5 linked regions of the Mus musculus genome follow. The protein of the gene in region 2 interacts with the protein of the main gene of each other region in a biochemical or structural test. Links are inferred from orthologs where the notes say so. Each region holds a gene or a part of one and is shown on either strand. Other genes may lie near its edges.

Region 1 (3,935 bases), on a different chromosome or scaffold from region 2:
GGAGAAGGAGAAGAAGAAGAAGAAGAAGAAGAAAGGCTCGGCTTGCTGGTGTACTCCTATAACCCCAGCAAGCAGCAGAGATAGGCAGATTTCTGCTCAAACGCAGCAAGTTCCAGGCCAGCCAGGGTTGCACGCACAAAATGAACCGTCAAGGGTTGACGAACAAATATGACATGGTAAGACTGCCCTGCCGGCTGTGGAGGTGGGAAGGTAGTTCACGCTCCAGGGAGGAGCTGGTGGGAGCACAACTACTGTGTTGGAGTTAAGGTGTCAAGGAAATGAGGTCTACCCAGCCCGGAGGTTGTTAAAGTCTCCCAGAATCCAGGGCGGGAACGTGAGCCTCGTGACAGTCCCCCACGATTGGCTAACAGGGAAGCATAGTTGAGAAGATGGCGGCTCAGCAGAGAGAACCTCAGCAGAGCAGGTCCGTATAGAAGCGGCGTACGGTGTGCGGGAGGGCGGCAGGGGCGTGGGGAGTGCGGCCTCTTCCTTCGGTTTGGGGCGTGTGGGAGAGGGGTACAGTTTGTGGAGTGTGCACAAGTTGTCTGCACTGAGCGGCCGAGGCATAGGAATGGCTTTCCAGAAGCCCCAGCCTGTCGCTTGTACAGACGCCCTCTGCGTCCAGCTTCCTCCTGTGTTTCGAGGGGAGCGCGTTAGGGTTCAGGATTCAGGAGGACCAGGGCAAAATGGCGGAGGGGACTCGGTGGCCTGAACGGTGGGGCAAGACCAGGCCGGCTGGCGCGGGAGGCGTCGCGTGTCTCCCTGACGACGGGGCGGTGGACAGGCCTCGTGACCCAGAAGTGGGCGGAGCGTCCCCGTGTGGGGCGGGGCATCTCTGTGACGCTGGGGGCTGGGCCTAAATGGCGAAACCCGAGAGGCTCCGGGGGGGGTTTGAACTGGCCAATGGGCGAGCTGCCGACCGGTTGTCGGAAAAGGAGGCGGAAGCGGGGAGGAGCCGCCGCGGGAGCCGGACTGCATCCGCCGCGGCGTCTCCATGGCACGACCCTGGCCTCCGACTTCAACGACTTCATAAGGAGACGGTTCTGGGCGCAGCCGTGCCGCTCTTGGTGAGAGGCCACGCGGCGGGGCAGGGCGTAGAGTGCCGCGGGTTCAAGCCCCGCGCTCCCGGGGCTGGCTCGACCGGGCACCGTCCCCGAGTCTAGGCGCGCTCCTTCCTGCGTCCGAACCCGGCCCGCCCCGCTCCTCGTTGGGCGCGGGCCCTTCCTCCTCCCGCTAACGGGCGGGCCGGCCGCCTCCGTCCTCTCCGGGCCATCGGCAGCGCTCTTTCCCTCCTCTGCTGTCCTCGGGCAGGGCTGCGCCCTTCTATGGGCAGAACCCCGTCCCCTCTTGCCCGCTGGTGGGTGGCCGTGCGCCCCATCCTCCCCGGAGGCCACCCCTGCTCTCTGCGGACTGGGCCGCAGCAGTTACATGCGCTCGGGGTGGGCAGGCCTCCGGGGACCCTCCAGACCAGCTCCAGGGATGTGGGTGATCCAGGAGCGGTCTGGCTCTCCATGCCGCCCCGCCTAGGCCGCCGCTCCACCCCTTCCATCTATTGGTTCTCCCTGGTAGCTATTCTGCCGGGAACGCCCCTTCACCTAGGAGACAGTTGCCCAGGCACTGTCCCGAAGATCCCTCCAGCTCCCTGTGCGGGTTCCCGCCCCTGGGGGGCCCACTTGGGGCCTAGCAGTTCTCACCTTCTTCGCACTCCAGGCAGCCCTCAGGTTTAAACCCTAGTAGCCGTCGGCCCGCTATTCTTCCCGGGTGGGGTCTGGGCATGCTGGTCGTTGTCCTCCTTTCAGTGACGTGGCCCCTCACTGTCCTGCCGCGCCCTCCACCTGCCTCCTGGCGGCGCACTCGGCACCCCGCAGGTCGCTCAGCCTCTCCTGTCTCCCTCCCTCCCCACTTTGGCAGGACAGTTGCTGTGCGACTTGGACAGTAGAGGAGCGCCTCCCAAGTTTTCATCCAACTGCCACCCCCAAAGCTTCCACCCTCCTCCCCTCAGAGAGAGGACGTTTGATGCCCGGCCCCTGAGATTCTCATTGGCCAGCCCCTCTGGGTCCCCCTGAGCAGAGCCTGCCGACCCAATTGCCCATCTTTGCGGCTTTGATGCTTAACCATGTCTGCCTCATCCTCAGGCGGCTCCCCCAGGTACAGCCAATGTGGGGGGCGCCTTTGCAGTAGGGCAGGGAAAGGTGGTCAGGGCTCCCCAGGCCAGGCTCAATGGAAACTTTTTTTTAGTTTCCCAGGTACTGAAAGTCTGGACCCAAAACACTTGAAAGTGACTTTGAAAGGGGAGGAGTAAAGACTCCCCTCCCCCGCCTACAGCTTACTAGTAGCAAACAAGATCACTCTTAATGCTTTGAGTTCAGCTTGGCTTCAGACTCACTAGGTAGTCAAGGTTGTGCTTGAATTCCCGATTCTCCTTTCTCCACGTCCCATGTGGTGGCTTAAAAGCGTTTCCCACCATGGCACCTCTAAACTAGTGTTAAAGTGAGCAGAGATATTATAAGTAAGTAGAAGGGGGGAAAACTTGAGGTTCTACTTTGAACAGTCTTCTTCCGAGTGGCCGTCCGGCTCGCTCAGTAGTTGTTTGTGAGCCGAGCAGAGTGCAGACCATGGTGCTGTTGCTTTAGGTTTCAGTCTTCCCCCTGAAGAGCTGGTGAGGTCGGCAGAAGGCTATCTGGGAACTGTGAGGAGGCAGTGGGCTAGGTTAGCTTTAACCATTGCAGACCGTTCTCCCCCAGCCGGGACTCTGGCTGGACTGCTGGTCTGGAGCACAGTATTGGCTGTTTTGCACTTGTCGTATTGGGCTGCATATGTACAAGCAAGGCTCTGGTGTGGGCAGTGAGTGGACCACGTTGGGAAGTGGGGTCTTCGTATGCTTCAGCAAGGGTGTGAGCCTTCCTTTTACAAGCTGGTGTCCCAGTGACTTTGCTCCTGAGCTGCATGTTTTAGGTTAACCTGTCACTGAACGCTTCCCCAGAGGAGCTTGGGGACTGTAACCCTTGTTGAGACTGGTGCCTTGGCAGCTTTTTTTTGGGTCACCTGATTGGAGATGACAGGTAGGCTTTCAGCACAAGGTCACAATACATGTGATGCGATGGCAGGTTTAAAAGGCCAGCCATGCAGACAGCCTACACCTGGTATCACCCTCCTGCTGAGCACACCATGCGCGCCTTGTGCTCATCTACAGAGAGCCAGGGGACTCAAGACTGCTGCTCCAAGCTGCCGACGCAATAGCCACCACATGCAGTGTGCCATTTCCCAAGAGCTGAGAAACAGGAGAACCTTGGCTTTCTGCTCATAATCTGGTTCTTGTGCCCGGGTGCAGGTTTCCATCGTGTGGGAAGAACGGAGTAACGAGTCTCACACAGAAAAAAGTCTTGAGAACACCTTGTGGCGCACCCAGTGTAACTGTTACGGTAGGTGACCCTCACAACGGTACCATCAGAACTGCTTCTGCAAGCCTTTGCTAGGGACTGCCCAGGTGCTCTGTATGGAGCTGGGAAGCATGGCCTGCTTGCTGATGAAGGAAGGAGTCAGGTGTGAGGAGGTTGTCTTGATAGCCTTCCAGGGACATCCCAACATCTTTAGAACAGATATTTTAAAAAGAAAAAAAAAAAGAAATAAAAGCATGAGAGAGAGGTGGGATGGGGGCTGCCGGCGGGCAAGGCTGTTCCTGGGGTCCAGCTCTGCTCACGTTTTCTCTGGAGTCTCTACACTCTCCTCACACTTGGCATCCCCACTGGCCTCCTCTGTGCCCTAGTGCCTTGCTTGCATGTGGCCTGCATGCATCTGCACCTTAACCATTTTGAGTGTTTCCCACACTAACTCGCATGTCTGGTTGGAAGATACAGCTTTGCAGCCGACCTGCACTAAGTCCAAGGCGGAGCTGCCCAGTCCGTCTGGCTTGGGTGGAGCTGCAGCTCTGAGGA
Region 2 (3,500 bases):
CACCGGGGGAATCACTGCTGGCTCCTGCTGGCCACCAGCTGGAAGCTAGGATTCAGGGTAGTAAGAATAGGTAGAGATGCTCAGCGGGAGAAACTGGGTGTGTTGATGGCATGCTGGATTTCCTCATAATAGTGTGAGGGCCATGGAGCATAGCTCATCTCCGAGGACCTTCTGCCTCTGTATGCAGAAGTCATGGAAAGATCCAAGTGGCTGTCCTATGAGAAATCCAAACACCGCTCTAAATCAAATGCTCCAGGTTTATGAGTAGGGGAAGGAACATCATAATGCTTCGACATGACTGTTTAGAAGTATATAGATCTCCCAAAACCCATAGATACCCATGGCACTAAAGCCTCATCGATCTGTTTTAGGAGAATACACAGAGAGATCTCTAAGAGTACCTATTCCGATACAATTCTTTATAGCAACAATAAATTCACCAAATATGTTTAAAGGTGATGAACAGAGGAGGTGACCCCATATACATCCTTGAGGGGGTAAATACAGGACTCTGCCCATGGCACACTGTCACTGTATCGTGACTCCACTTTGCTAGTGGTATACTCATGCATAGCCGAAGGGAGCTTCTGAGACGCTCCATCCCCCACTCCTCAGGACCCTCTATGAGCTAACTTTCTTCCAGACTGTAGTTTTCAAACAAAAAGCAGAAATGAATTAGCAAGCAAAATGCTGCCTTTAGAAAGGTACCAAAGGGGTTCCCCAGGCTGAAAGCATCCTCATAGGACATACCGGTCACTTCCTTCTCTAGCTCTTACAGTGAGCTTGTCTGCTTTTTGCAGGACCAGAAAATCTATATCTACAGCCTTAAGGGTATGTGCCCATTAAGCGTGCCCCAGCAGGCCCTGGACACCCCAGCTGTCGTCACCTGTTTCTTGGCAGTACCTGTTATCAAAAAGGTAAGGTGGGGAGAGGACATATTCAGGTCTGTCACCAAGTGTGGGAGGATCTCCTTGCTGAGAACAGTGGAGTCACACCTTTCTGGGCCACCTTGCCCAGGTCATAGCCAGCTTTAGAGACACAGGCAACCACCGTTAACCTGTGCCTACCGTCCATGAGCAAATGCCAGTGCCCCTGGCTTAGATGAGGCTCACGCTGGTGCGGATGATGAAGCAAACACGTGGCTCCTTCTCTTGATAAAGGCATCAGGAGCCTCTCCTCTGCCCTGGCCACTGATTTTTCTGATTAGTGGGCGTAGCTGATTCCCTTTCATCTGCCTCTGCCTTCTCTCAAAGACTTGCTTTCCTTCCCAGGCCTCAGTCCTTCATTGCCCAGCATTGCCCAGCATTGCCCAGCATTGCCCAGCATTGCCCAGCATTGCCCAGCACTGCCCAGCATTGCCCAGCATTGCCCAGCACTGCCCAGCACTGCCCAGCATTGCAGAGCAGACCCACTTCCTCGCCCTCCTAACCCCATTCACTCAGTGTGCTCCCCAGCCCCAGCTCCACCGCACCTTGGCATGGAATCTAGCCTCACTAGGGCTGGCAAGGCCACCTCTTGACTGGCCCTGGGCCTTCTCCTCCAAACAGTAGACACGGGAGCTTCACCTTCTCTTCTGGTGAACTGTCAGGAACTCCTCTGAGAAGTTGGGTGGCACTGCTTGCTCTCCCAAGCTCTGCTTCCTTCCCTGGATCCAATCAGGTCACAAGGGGCCTGTGGGTAAAACGCGTGCCTTCCACCAGTGCATAAGCATCACTTCCTAGCACAGCTTTTTATAATGTGCGGCCTGCCCTTATGTGGTCCCCATTTGTCCGCCTAACATGAGGATGATTGAGTAATGAAATAGGTCTCTGGACCTATGGAGCCCAGAGTTCCAGGCTGGGTACTTGGAGCTAAAGGTTGCTATGACTTTGTATGTCGCCAAACCTGTGAGCTTTTCTCTGCACCCTGATCTAGCTTCATTTCTTTATAAAAGGGACAGAAAATGGGTATGAAATGAACCTTACAGTCATTTATGACTGTAGCCCCAGGAGCACCCTAGGCAGCTGGGATCTCTACACCAGAGGCTGGGAGAAACGGACACAAAGCATTATTGAAGGGCCCTGACAGCCAGAGCCCCAGCCAGGGCTCACGTCTTGCCGGAGCAGGGGAAATAAAGCGGACTCTGTGTGAGCCTCCTGCGCAGGGTGCCTGCCCCCGTGGAGGTTGACCTGCGGAGGCCACACAGGGCAGACCGTGCGTGCATTCTTGCACAAGCACGCTCACAACCCACCGAACGTGGTGTTCCCCACGCCGGCCAGCAGGGCCAGGATCCAGAAAGACTTATGGCCTGTTTGCTCTGGCTGCTTTATTGACCTAGATCCTGAAGATGGATTTTGAGAAATTTTCCTAGGGCTCCTTACTGTGGATGTTGTGTGAGAGGCCACTCACTCTACTACCCTGAACAGCTGCCCACCCCGCTCCACACAGGCACCCTGACTGCTAACAAAGTGGCTTTCTGCCATTCCCCCTGGCTAGATAGAACAAGGCTGGGGTCCTGTCATGAACTCTGACTTGGTTCTGTGGCCCTTTTCCTGACCCACTCACTCTGTATCTGCTCTGCTCTGCTCTGCTCTGCTCTGCTCTGCTCTGCTCTGCTCTGCTCTGCTCTGCTCTGCTCTGCTCTGCTCTGCTCTGTGAGACACCCCTGGAAGCCTGTATTTGGCTTTGTACCTGCAGCTTTGGCTTCTGCCTAGTAACCTCTGGCGGTGGCTACAGAGGAAACGGTGCTTCGTGGTAAGTCAAACTCCTCAGTAGTGTCAGCCCAGGCTCTTCAGAGTGTGGATGTGGGCACATGGGACCAAGACATGCCAGCAGGAGAGTTAAGCTAGAAGCTCGTTCTTCCAGGGTCATAGATTGTCCACTTGATGGAAACAGTGGGATCCCGGGCCACAGAGGTGTCTCAGACTTAACCCTTTCCTGTGCCAGTGCAGTGCCCAGGTGACAGTGGTGGGCACAGAGACCTGCCCCCTGCTTTTCTGGAGTTCTCCACCGTGTGAGCAATAAACAGAACTCATGCCTATAACAGCTGTCATGTTAATAAGCTATCTACAACAGGGAGAGCATTCTGCCCTGCCTTTCATGAGGCCTTCATGGCATCCAGGAAAGGCAGCTCCCCGCTGCTCCTCCAGCAAGGGACCAATGCCAGGTGGTGGCACCCTTGCTTGATGCCCTCAGCACTATGGGCACTGTTCTCCCTGGCTTACCTCTTGCCTTGCAGCACCAGTGGTGGGTGTGGCTTTGCTGGGGCAAGGCTACATCATCTCTGGACAGAGTCCTGAGACCCCTGAGCAGGCCAAGATTTCAAAGGCTTTACTTCTCTGAGGCACTATGGAAGATCATGTGACCACTTGAGGCACATAGAGAGATGAGTCTGGTGTCTGTGGTTTCTCTCTTCGCATGTGTGACATGAAAGAATATTGTGTGTCCCTGTCCCTTCCCCCCACAGAACTCCTTCCTGGTGCTGGCAGGCCTGGCTGACGGACTCGTGGCTGTGTTTCCTG
Region 3 (4,046 bases), on a different chromosome or scaffold from region 2:
TGAAGCCCACAGGCAGTAGCTGGGTGTCTCTGAGCACGTTCATCCTCATGCTTTAGAAATCCAATGCCACTTCAGTCTGGCACTTGGAAAACCCCTGCAGGATGGGGTCGTGCCCCTGTCCTTCCTGCCATCCTGAGCAGGTGATGTGTGTGTGTGGCTGTAGCTGCACAGAGTCACAGTCTCTCTGACATGCTGGGAAGTTTGCCAGACTTTTCACCACACTGTTCCAGGCCTGGCTTTGATGAGGGATCAGGGCCCCTTTTGCTACACTGCTTCTGAGAGACACTTACATTTCAGTCCCCAGAGCTCTGAGCTAGGACTAGAAGGCCACAGAAACAGGTAGATCCCACTGTCTTGGACCTGGATTATACCTAAGAGCAGGAATATCAGAGAGATAGGCAGCCACGTTTGATGTAGACCATGGCAAGGCAGACCATCATTAGATGAAGCCAGCAGTCCCTCTGTGTCACCTGCTAGCTTCCCTCCAGACTAAAGTCCCGAGACAGAGTTTATTAAAGCTGTCATCTGCCCTTTTCTACAGGGATCCTGCTGGGTTATAGAACTAGATCAGGACACCAAGCCAAGCTCAAGTCCAAGGAGCCCCTCCCGCCCTGCCTGCCCCTGAACACACGCAGGACACTGGTGCTCAGTGGGGAAAGGAGACCTCAGGACCTTAAGGACTTTGGGGCACAGCTAAGACTAAAGTGTGAGTCTGTTGCCCTTGAGGGCTTCATTTAGGGTCCCCAGGCTTCACACAGGTCTCCTACTCCTGTTTGCCTTCTCTTAGGGATTTTTTTTTCTTTCTATACCCTACCACGGAGCTATTCACCCCATCTTCTGCACTTAGAGATTTGTTCCTGCCATAGCATCCCCCACCAGGCTGGGAGCTCCTGGATCGGTTTTCACCAGGAGTGAGTGGGACCAGGCACAGGGCTCAGGGAGGCTTGGTCTCTATTTACATTGGCAGCCCTGCTCCCTACATTCCCCACCCATGCTAGGCCACCCTATCAAACTATCTCCTCTCCTCTTCACAGCCCATGTGGTCATGGGTGCCTACTTCAGGGAGCACTCCCACCTTCCTTCATTTCTACGGACCTCTGCCTGCTGCTCCTTGCATCTCTGCAATGTACCTGTCTTCCTTTCAGACCGCTTACCCCAGGATTCTAGCAATGGGGAGGGGAAAGAATTTGTACAGCTTACATTCCAGCCAATGCAACCTCCCGGAGCCTCAGATACCTTTCTTGGCTGAATGTGGGAGGTCTCCTGGGCCCAGGGAAGTCTCATTCCTCATCCATCTTGCCCAGCTAGAGCCCTGTTTACTTCTTCCACACATTCACTCCCTTAACAAACATATCCTGAACACTGGCGAGAAGCGTTATCCAGGGTTGGGGCAGTGGAGCAAGAAACAGCCAAAGGGCCAGTCATCCTTCAGTGTCTACACAGATTCAATCACATCTCGCTCAGCTTCGCTGTCTGACCGTACAGGGTGCTACAGGGTGCGAGCTGAGAGCGAGGCTCCAATATCAAAACTTGCATTAATTAGTTCCCTTCCTGCCGGCTCCTGAGGAATTGGGAGGTTACACGTTCCCCACTTATGTAAAAAAGGGTTCATACTCTTGTGGGAATAAAAGATGAAACATTCAAAGTCAATTTCTACGGCATACAGACATACAGGTTTCTCTCTCCGAGGTCTTTCTGCACGTCTCCGTCAAGCATCAGGGGCTCTGTGATGACCCAGTCACCTTGGGTTTCCAGGGACAGCGGCTCCTGAGCGGATGCCGGGCTCATCCCCCGCCTAATCCCCAGTGCTTCCTTCCTGGCCCCTCCACACAGCTCCTCTGCTTCCAGAGACTCTTCAGCACCGCAGAGCCAAGCTCTCAACACAAACTTGAACCTTCCGTTCCCTGTTCCCAAGGCTCTCCTTGCAGCCTCTGCTTTATGATTCAAATCTTCTATCCTTTCTAATCCAGAGATCCCCTCAAATCCCTGGACGCCCTGGCCCTTCACCTCGACGTGGATCGGTCTGGAACTAGGGACTCAAGATTCGGCTTAGGTTTCAACTTGAATCTAGGATCATTTGCAAGGTTCCTACAGTGGGGTGCGGGGTGGAGTGTCCCAAGTCCTCAGTCCTAGCCCAGGAGAAGGTAGACGCCCGTCCGGAGCGCCCTCTGGGGGACCTCGGGTTACCGATCTTCAGTGCAGACGCAAGGCGTCGGGAAGTGCGCACCCAAGTGCGGGGTCGGGTGTGGATCAATGGGGAAATGATTCACGCTGGAGGATCGGGACCCAGAGGCAGTGAGCCCTGGACTTCCTGGGGACTGAGTAAGAACCCGAAGGATCCAGGGTAAGGATGCATTTCACTACGGACCGGACCGTAGACTTAAGACTGGGACCTGGTCATAGCTCCGCCACCCTGTTCGTGACCCGGCTGCAGTCCTCACCCATTCTTTCCTGCTCCCCGCGGTCCCGGTCCCTAGCCCCCGGCTCCCATGACTTCCCTGGTTCCAGCGGGCGTCCTCATACCTAGGTTCCCAAACTGCCCCGTCCCTCCGCCCGCCCCGTCGGTGCGGTCTCACCACAGGCCCCTGGTGCGCAGCGGGCTCCGGGTGGTTAAGCGGGAGCGGAGGTTGGGCTGTGGCCCGGGCGCTCACCTTGGAGGAGTCCGAGGCAGAGCCACAGGCGCAGGTTCAGCGCAGCGCCCGGCTGCATCTCCGGCCCCTGGGCGCGGGTGGGACCTGCGCGGCCGCAGCTCTAGGCTGGGAGTGAGAGCGCGCGCCGAGGCGCCGGCGGGGCGCGGACCGGTCAGCGGCCCGGGGGCGGAGCCGAGGCGGCCCGGGGCGGAGCTCCGGGGGAGGAGGGTCACCGTAGCCTCAGCCCGCCCCTCGCCCCTCTCTGTCCCTTCCAGCTTGCCCCAGGAGAATCCAGCCTGGGTAGGGAGAGCGCCCACTTTGCGTACGTTAAAGGCTCCCAGTTCCAAAGCAGCCATCAACAAGCACAAACTCCAGGGCCACTGCGGGTGGGCGAGGAGTGCAGGTGACTGCACTGTCCCCCGTGCGCGTTGTGGCGCCGGAGAATGAACAAAACCGCATAGTATCGTTTTCTGCATTTCCCTTCCATCCATAAGCAGAGCGGCAACGAATATAACGTTAAAACGGCTGTACATTAAATCTTAGCAAGCGCCCTGCAGAAGCCAGATCTCTCTATAGTGTGAAAGACAGGCTTTCGCTTTAGCTTCCCCACCAAATACTTTTGCTCTGAGCTCATTCTAAGTCTTTTTTATCAGGTGACACTTCACTTTCTGTTTTGGCAAACGCTCTCGCACAGACTTCCTTTTTCTTTGTGGTTCCTTTGCTAGAATTTTCCTATTTCAAAATATATCCCAAATGACAATGACGATTTCAACCTTTTTCTGCTCTTATGTACTGCGTTCCCACTGTTCCCACGATCCCCACCTACCAGCCCGGACTCATCCTTGCCAAAAGTCAAGGCCAGACTGTTGTTGATGATGACCTTTTAAATAGTCGCCAACTCTCTCAACCACAGAACAGGAATGAAACTCCTAGGTATGCGTGTCTTTAACATCTGTAGACAGCGCTAACTAGTTTTTCATTTTAGCTTGTACTGAAATCACATTATGGTGTTGTTAATTGGCTTTTCCCTAACTGCCACTGAGGCTAAGAATATTTATTTACTTATTTATTTATCTATTTATTTATATTTATCTTTAATTCACTTTGCATCCCTATAACAGTCCCCCTCCCCTCTTCCCAGTCCCATCTTCCAAATCCCTCCTCCCATTGTCTTCTCCCCTTCTTCTCAGAGAAGGGGGATTCCACCCCGCCCCCCATCTTGGCTACCACCCACCCTGGAACATCTAGTTCCAGCAGGACTAGGCACATTCTCTTCCACTGAGGCCCAACCAGGCAGTCCAGGTAGGGTGAAGGGGAATCCAACGGCAGGAAACAGAGACTTGAGACAGACCCTGTTCTACTTGTTAGGGGACCCACATGAAGACCAAGCCGCACATTTGCTACAGATGTGTAGGG
Region 4 (4,039 bases), on a different chromosome or scaffold from region 2:
AGATCTGAAGCCACCAAAAAATAAAAAATCCCTTCAACTTCATTCCAGTAATAACATAAAGTTACCTGCAACTGCAAGCCGTAGCTACTTCCTCCTCCCTGCATCTTATAAGTGATTCTCTTATAGAAAGGTGCCATTTCTATACCAACACTACATATCCTCTATCTGGATGTGACTTGACTGTCCTACTATTCTGAGACAGTACTCCTCTCCACTATACTGGAAAGACTTCACTCTTTCCCATTGGCTTTAGGCTGCTCAAGTCTCCCATCTAAGATCATGTTAACACCACACTGCCCTTTCAGCTCCCACACTCTTCTTCACAAATCTCCTCAGTTACCTACAGGTACCATCTCTACTTCATCAGTTCTTTATTCCTCCAGGTGTTATCCAAAGCTTCCACTTCACCATTTCTAGGAAACTACTGTCTCACCTACCACGTACCTCACTGTATACTAATGATAATCTTTCATTTCTTTTCTACTTGACTTTTTAAAGAGCAGGTAGCGCCCCCCCCCCCCCCAAGGCGTATTTAATAGCATACAATCCTGGGACAGTTAAGATGTTGATTTGGGCTTAAGGATCCATTTTTCAGTCCAAAAGCACAAACTCTACCCAAGGCTCTGCAACTTCATATGGCTTCAGAAACCTCGGAGGTACAGAGACGAGTGGGGAATCCCATGACTTTGCCTCACCTGAGATGGACAGCTCTAAGTGTTTGACATCACACGGGATTCTGCGTCCAGTGCTGCCAGGTGACTTTTGTATACACGTTGTGAAGCTTTCTCCCGCCCCCTTTTAAAACTACGTTTTTCGGTCTTAATTCTAGCAACTAGTTCATCCTCCCCCAAACCTGTGTGGACCAAAACATAAGTGTCTGTGGCTCATAGGCTGGCTGCTTGTCTGCAAGATACCCTCCTCTCCTAAACCGGGCATTAGGGACACTTAGGGTGGGCTCCAGGCCTCGCTTTACCTTGAGGCGTCAGGCGCGAGCGGCGGGCTCTGGGGCGGTCCGCAGCGCGCGCCCAACGTCCCGCGACGCTCTAGCCACCTAGGCTGGACCTGGGCCAGCGGAAGCAACCAGATGAGGTTAGGGTCAGATGGCGACAGCCCTACCTCCGTGCCTCCTAGGAGCTTGAGGTCCGTAGGATCGCACCCTCTGCGCCTGCGCCTGCTGCTGCTGCTGGCTCTGCAGAAACACGCGCCCTTCCGCCTGCTGCGTCAGGGCGGGGCCGCAGCGTCGGGACGCAACTCGCTCTCTGATTTACGTCACGGCGCGGGCGGAAGATGGCCGGGTTGTTCGCCCGCAGCTGCTAACCCGGCAGTGCGGAGCTGGAGCCTGGCTCCCGCTGCCGCGGAGCGGCCGACGCCATGTCGCTGCTGCAGTCTGCGCTGGACTTCCTGGCGGGCCCTGGTTCTCTTGGCGGAGCTGCGGGCCGTGATCAGAGTGACTTCGTGGGGCAGACAGTGGAGCTGGGCGAGCTGCGTCTGCGGGTGCGGCGGGTCCTGGCCGAGGGTGAGGCGTAAGGCGTCGCCAGGCCGCGGGAGGCAGGAGCAGCCCAGGAGGGTCGCTGCTGGGGTGTGGTTCGAGTCAGGGCGCGTGACGGTCACCGCTTTAAGCAGGGGCAGCAAGGAGGATCGTGTCCAGGGTGTGAATCAAGTCTGAGACCTAGAGAGTCACGACTGAGGTGTGGGTCAGATCAGGGCCGCAGGGAGTCATCTCTCCGGGCAGGGTCTGCGGGAAAAGACACTGCTGGGATGTAAATCAGGCCATCGCTATGAAGGGCCACTGCTGGGGTGTGAATCAGGTCGGAGAAGGGTCTTGCCAGGAAGAGAGACCACAGGGGCTTGTGGGTTAAGGCCTTTGGTGGTGATTGCAGAGGATAGACTGCTTCGGGTTGCACACTTACTTCCTGGTGGGTAGAGTTAGTAGTACAAGGGTCATGCTAGCAGGTGGTTATCCAGTAAAGGAGGCTTGGGTCTGGAAGGACCACCTCTGCTTAGGGTCAAAGCTGTATCTGGGGCATATACAGAAAGATTCAAAGGTGGAGTCAGGTCAGAAGGTGAGCACAGTCACTCTGGGGTCATAAGCTGTTATTCATTGTATCATATCCAGCGTTGTTGTTGCATCCCGAGGACTGTCTTGAGATGGCAGTGTTTGTGCTGCTGAGTTCTGGGGCCTGTAGAGTCTTCCCTTGCTTGATGAGGTAGAGGATAGACTGGGGCCCTACAGTCTTGTTTTCTTTTATAGCCTAAGTGCCTCACCTATTGAGTTTTTTCTGTAGTGACCTCGTATAAGGTACAGGAAACAGAGCCCGTAGCTGTAACCTTTAAGAACCTTGCTTGAGCCGGGCGTGGTGGCACCCGCCTTTAATCCCAGCACTGGGGAGGCAGAGGCAGGCGGATTTCTGAGTTCAAGTCCAGCCTGGTCTACAGAGAGAGTTCCAGGACAGCCAGGGCAATACAGAGAAACCCTGTCTCGAAAAACAAACAAACAAAAAGAACCTTGTTTGATAGACAGTTCCATAGTTCTGTGTCTTGAGGTCAGTCTGAGTTTGTAGCTTCCTCACACAGGCTCTGTAGTCAGCTTGTGTGATGGAATCGTGTTTTCTCTTTTATGATTTTTTTTTTTTTAAGATTTACTTTTTTAAAAAACTGGTGTTTTGCCTGCCTCCATCACTGGACAGTATCTATGTGTACTGCCTGCTGAGACCAGAAGAGGACATTGGATCCCCTGGAAATGTAGTTAGAGACAGTCGTTAACCTCTGTATGGTTGCTAGGAATCCAGTGTTGCTCTTCTCCTCTGCAAGAGAATAAATCTTCTTCAGGCACTCACTGTGCCTTTTTATTATTATTATTATTATTAATTTGTTTATTTTGTTCATCAGTATCTAGGAGTATGCCAGATCTCAGGTTCAGGGAGAAGAGTGGCCTGACTCAGGTCTGAAGTAGCTCTCAGGATTGGAGAGTCATCTTGTTAAGGTTGTCCATGACAATTGTGATTGGTAGGAGCAGGGAACTTGTTTAACATTCTTTCTTTACTATGGAAACGCAGAGGTGATGTTTTGATAGTAGCTTGTCATGCTTATTCTCCACTGCGATTGTGCATAGATTTGGATGTGATTTTAGTAGAAGACCTGTGGTGCTTTTCCCGCCAGAGATGAGTTTAGGACCTCCACTAACAGTCTGATATGTGATATTCCCTTTCATCTGTCGAAATGACAAAGATGGTGCCAGATCGGCTTGTTCATTCTGAAGATACCAGGAAGTTGCCTTAGTTTTTCAAAAACTTCAACCCTGAACTGATGGCACAGGCCTGTAACCCTAGCTTCTTGGGAGTTTGAGGCGGGTAAATTCCAACTTCAGGGTCTGCCTGGACTACAGGTAGAATTCAAAGCCAATCTGGGCAAGTTAGTAAGATGCTGTCTTGAAAAGTAAAAAAGGGCTGGGATTTTATAGTTTAATGGCATAACACTGGCTTAACATGTATGAGGCCCTAGGTTTAATCCACAAACCAGAAGGGAAGAGAGGAAGAGAAGAGACGGACGGACTTGGTTTCCTTTCTTATAGAATGTAAAATAAGACACATATTCAGCTAGTAGAAGGAAGAGGCAGCTTGGGTGCGGCAGTACAATAAATAGTGTGAATTCCAGGGTAGCTGGAAGGCCTGCCTCTATAATAGGGAGCCAGGAGAAGATGGCTGTGTGCTGTACCCACCTGGCCAAGAGGCCATCTCTAGTGGGACGTGGTTCCAATTGCTAGGAGAGGGAGGTTGTGTAAAGCAGGAAGCTTACTCAAGCCACATCTAAACCAGGATGAAAAACCAGGAAGTATGGGCAGCCACTGTCTCTGCAGAGAGCAGTTCTTTCCTGCTCTCTGACCCAGCCAGGAATAAAAATAATCAGTGCAATTGTAAGCCATAGTTTTCTTCTTCTTCTTTTTATACTTAATATGATATTTTAAGGCTTTTTTTTTTCTGAATTGAGACAGTAAGGAATCTGTAGTATTTTGCATAGATTACTTAAATGAGTCCTGAGC
Region 5 (3,500 bases), on a different chromosome or scaffold from region 2:
CTAGGATGCTCGCTTGGCCTTCCTTCTCCCTGGGCTGGGCTTTATGGATAGGAATCCTGTTGTCTAACCCTTTGACTTGCTTTCCAAGAAGCACAAGAGGTTGGCTCAGTTGTTTTAGGTGAGCAATTACTGACCTCGTTTTATTCTTTATGTTAGAGCAATCCAGAAGAAGAGGTTGAGTTAAAGAAGCTGAAAGATTTGGAGGTATCTGCAGAGAAGATAGCTAACCACCTGCAAGAATTGAATAAAGAGCTTTCTGGCATCCAGCAGGTGACTTCTCTATTCTGTGGATAGAGTGGTATGGTATTGTTGCCTGGTTGGCTTTTTAAAAAATAATTTATTTCATTTTTAAATTATATATTAATTATGTGTGAGTCTGCCTGGGTCTGTGTTGGAGTAGGTGGATGTGAGTGCTGGTGGCCAGGAAGACACCCCCCACACCCCCCAGAGCTGGGGTGATGTGAGGTGGTGAGCCTCTAGATGCTGGGAGCAGAACGCAGGTCGGCTAGTAGAACAGTACACCTTCTTAATCTCCGAGCCATCTCTCCAGTCCTGTTTTGTGTTGTAATTATAAAATTAGTTTGTGATGCTTACACAAAAGTTTTATATGTGCGTATAGATAGATTCAAGCCGAGGCCTTTCACGTCCTAAGCTCAGCTCTGCTCTCACTGTGCTGCTTTTGTTGTTGTTGTTGTTTTGTTTGTTTGTTCGTTTTTTTGGTTTTTGTTTGTTTGGTTTTTGTTTTTTTGTTTTTTTGGTTTTTCAAGACAGGGTTTCTCTGTGTAGCCCTGGCTGTCCTGGAACTCACTCTGTAGACCAGGCTGGCCTTGAACTCAGAAATCCGCCTGCCTCTGCCTCCCAAGTGCTGGGATTAAAGGCGTGCACCACCACGCCCGGCTCTTACTGTGCTTCTTGTGTGCAGGTCTGTATGTCTGACCCAGAGATGCTATTACTCTGAAAAGTATTTTTCACCTTATTTAGTTAAAATATAATATGCTATACATTTGGTAAATTGTTCTTTTACTGGCTAAAAATTAACATTTTCCTGTGTTGTTGAAAATGGTCATATTTTCCTGCATGTGAATATATCATGGTTTACCTACCTTAGTCTCTGTTCTCTGTTTTACCTGATTTTTTTCTCTTACTGTGCTGCTGCTTTGAGTGCCCTTAGACAGGAGTCCTTTTTGAGTAGTTGTGATTGTCTTTGATAGAACTGAGTTTGGATTTCTGAGTAATGTTCGAACTTCTTGCTGTGTGTTTACAAATATGCCTTTGTCACTCTGGTTTGATAGCCATCTTCAGAAATTCCTGCTTTTCAACTCAGCCACCCGCTAACTGATCACTAGGCAAAGAAATGCAAATGAACAGCAGGGTGGTTTAATGACAGTAAGTGCTACCTCAACCAGGTGTGGGCTTGTACACCGTAATCACAGCTTTTCTCAGAGCAAGAGACGGGATCAGTTTAAGGGCAGCATTGACTATGCAGTGAGTTAGAGATCCTGTCTCAAAACCAAAGCCACAATAATACCGCCATCCTCTGTTATCTTGTGTATCTATCTGTGCCATGAGTTATGTGAGCATCTACACATCTGCCGGTCAGCATCCCATAATCTGAGATCAGTGAGACGTGGCAAGTTTAAGGAACTTGCTTTAAGATCTTAAGCCAAAGTTGGGAATGTAGCTTAGCTGATAAAGTGCTTGCCACACAGCATCAGGACCTGGGTTCAGATTCCCAGCATCCATGCAGAAACTGGGCATGATGGCACACTGTATAATCCCAGTGTGGGGGAGGCAAAGAGAAGAGGGCTGGATCCCAGCTGCTCACTGCCCAAACAGTCTAGCCAAATTGGGCAAGCTCCAGATTCAGTAAAAGACCCTGTCTCAAAAAATAAGGCAGAGTCTTAGTCAGTGAAGAGGCGCCGTGACCACAGCAACTCTTAAAAGAAGAAAGCGTTTATTTGTGGCTGGCTTAAAGTTCAGAGGTTTAATTAGTCCATTATCATCATGGCAGGAAGCATGGTGGCATGCAGGCAGACTTTGTGCTGGAGAGGTAGCTGAGAATTCTTCATTTCAATCCACAGGCAACACTTAGAGAGAGACACTGGGCCTGGCTTGGGCTTTTAAAACCCCAAAGCCCACCCCCAGTGACACATTTCCTCCCACAAGGCCACACCTCCTAATCCTTGTCAAGTAGCACTACTCCCTAGTGACCAAGCATACAAATATATGGGGGCCATTTTTATTCAAACCACCACACAGTGTTTGGCAAAGACACCTCACGCCAACCCTTGATGCACTGTGCCCAGCTTTTCAGTCTGTTCTCTTAATGTCTGCTTCTTATGTGCATGTATGCACCTGTGTTGAAGGCTGCACCATAGTTCCTCAGGGGGCATTCATGCCTCAGTGGACTGTGAGAGAAAGAACAGTCCACACCCTGGTAGTATTCTTAGTCTGGCCAAGGCAAGCATTTCTAATTTTCCCAGGGGATGAAGGTCTGAGATCTAGCCGGGCTTCTTAGATCAGTGGTGAACTCTGGGTTGCTTCACCAGTCTATTGGCATGGTTTTCCATGAGTCTCAAACACTTGCAATAGTGCCTTATTCCTTCTCAGGGTTTTCTGGCTAAGGAATTGCAAGCGGAGGCTCTCTGCAAACTTGATAGGAAAGTAAAAGCAACAATTGAGCAATTCATGAAGATCTTGGAGGAGATTGACACAATGGTAAGTAAACATTCATATAGAGGTACTAGCCTTTTTATTTACTTTTAACGTTTTATTTATTTATATATACAGCGTTCTGCCTGCATGTATGCCTGCAGGCCAGAAGAGAGCACCAGACCCCATTACAGATGGCTGTGAGCCACTATGTGGTTGCTGGGAATTGAACTTAGGACCTCTGGAAGAGCGATCAGTGCTCTTAACCACTGAGCCACCTCTCTAACCCCAGAGGTACTTCTCTTTAGTGGCAGTATTTCAGTCTATTTCGTTCTGTCAGTATTACACTTGTGTTACCTGGGAAAATCTGTTGCTCGGGGATGTCAAACATCTACTGTTATGGGCCAGGTACTGTGTGTCTTAGTTAGCTTTAACTGTCATCTTAACACAGCCTAGAGGCACCTAAGAAATACGTCTCAGCTGAGGGATTACCCAGATGAGCGTGACCTATAGGCACACTGGGGCAAGATGGGTTTGGTAATTGATAGAGTCCATTATGAGCTGCATCTGCCCCAGGCAGGTGGTCCTGGGCTGTATAAGAAAGCCAGCTTGGAGCCAGGGAAATGGTTCAGTGGTTACAAGTACCAGTTGCTCTTCCAGAGAACTTGGATTTGATTCCCAGAATCTACAGTACCTTGCAACCCTCTCTAAGCCGAGTTCCAGGGGATCCAGTGTCCTCTTCAGGCCTCCTCAAGTCCCAGGCAGGCGTGTGGTATAGATATACATGCAGGCAAAACACCCATAAAATAAATAAGCCTTCCGCCGGGTGTGGTGGCACACGCCTTTAA

Evidence for each region. The genes of interacting proteins can lie anywhere in the genome.
Region 1: the proteins of Lrrk1 (region 2) and Odf2 form a complex in vitro, tested with the Homo sapiens proteins (2 studies listed by BioGRID and IntAct, with this or other methods). The link is inferred for Mus musculus from reciprocal best matches to the Homo sapiens genes LRRK1 and ODF2.
Region 3: the proteins of Lrrk1 (region 2) and Flt4 form a complex in vitro, tested with the Homo sapiens proteins (2 studies listed by BioGRID and IntAct, with this or other methods). The link is inferred for Mus musculus from reciprocal best matches to the Homo sapiens genes LRRK1 and FLT4.
Region 4: the proteins of Lrrk1 (region 2) and Gak form a complex in vitro, tested with the Homo sapiens proteins (2 studies listed by BioGRID and IntAct, with this or other methods). The link is inferred for Mus musculus from reciprocal best matches to the Homo sapiens genes LRRK1 and GAK.
Region 5: the proteins of Lrrk1 (region 2) and Bag1 form a complex in vitro, tested with the Homo sapiens proteins (2 studies listed by BioGRID and IntAct, with this or other methods). The link is inferred for Mus musculus from reciprocal best matches to the Homo sapiens genes LRRK1 and BAG1.

What each region holds. Positions count from the first base shown.
Region 1 is NC_000068.7:29,888,855-29,892,789, forward strand, and holds the start of Odf2 (outer dense fiber protein 2), read left to right. Parts: upstream 1-1,135; 5' UTR 1,136-1,325; coding exon of another isoform or gene 1,326-1,357; intron 1,358-1,402; exon of another isoform or gene 1,403-1,721; intron 1,722-1,911; 5' UTR 1,912-2,116; coding exon 2,117-2,148; intron 2,149-3,331; coding exon 3,332-3,422; intron 3,423-3,935. UniProt on the Homo sapiens protein: Seems to be a major component of sperm tail outer dense fibers (ODF).
Region 2 is NC_000073.6:66,262,842-66,266,341, reverse strand, and holds part of Lrrk1 (leucine-rich repeat serine/threonine-protein kinase 1), read left to right. Parts: intron 1-800; coding exon 801-917; intron 918-3,445; coding exon 3,446-3,500.
Region 3 is NC_000077.6:49,608,433-49,612,478, reverse strand, and holds the start of Flt4 (vascular endothelial growth factor receptor 3 precursor), read right to left. Parts: upstream 2,801-4,046; 5' UTR 2,710-2,800; coding exon 2,652-2,709; intron 1-2,651. UniProt on the Homo sapiens protein: Tyrosine-protein kinase that acts as a cell-surface receptor for VEGFC and VEGFD, and plays an essential role in adult lymphangiogenesis and in the development of the vascular network and the cardiovascular system during embryonic development.
Region 4 is NC_000071.6:108,626,978-108,631,016, reverse strand, and holds the start of Gak (cyclin-G-associated kinase), read left to right. Parts: upstream 1-1,239; 5' UTR 1,240-1,371; coding exon 1,372-1,516; intron 1,517-4,039. UniProt on the Homo sapiens protein: Associates with cyclin G and CDK5. Seems to act as an auxilin homolog that is involved in the uncoating of clathrin-coated vesicles by Hsc70 in non-neuronal cells. Expression oscillates slightly during the cell cycle, peaking at G1.
Region 5 is NC_000070.6:40,938,295-40,941,794, reverse strand, and holds part of Bag1 (BAG family molecular chaperone regulator 1), read left to right. Parts: intron 1-156; coding exon 157-270; intron 271-2,610; coding exon 2,611-2,718; intron 2,719-3,500. UniProt on the Homo sapiens protein: Co-chaperone for HSP70 and HSC70 chaperone proteins. Acts as a nucleotide-exchange factor (NEF) promoting the release of ADP from the HSP70 and HSC70 proteins thereby triggering client/substrate protein release.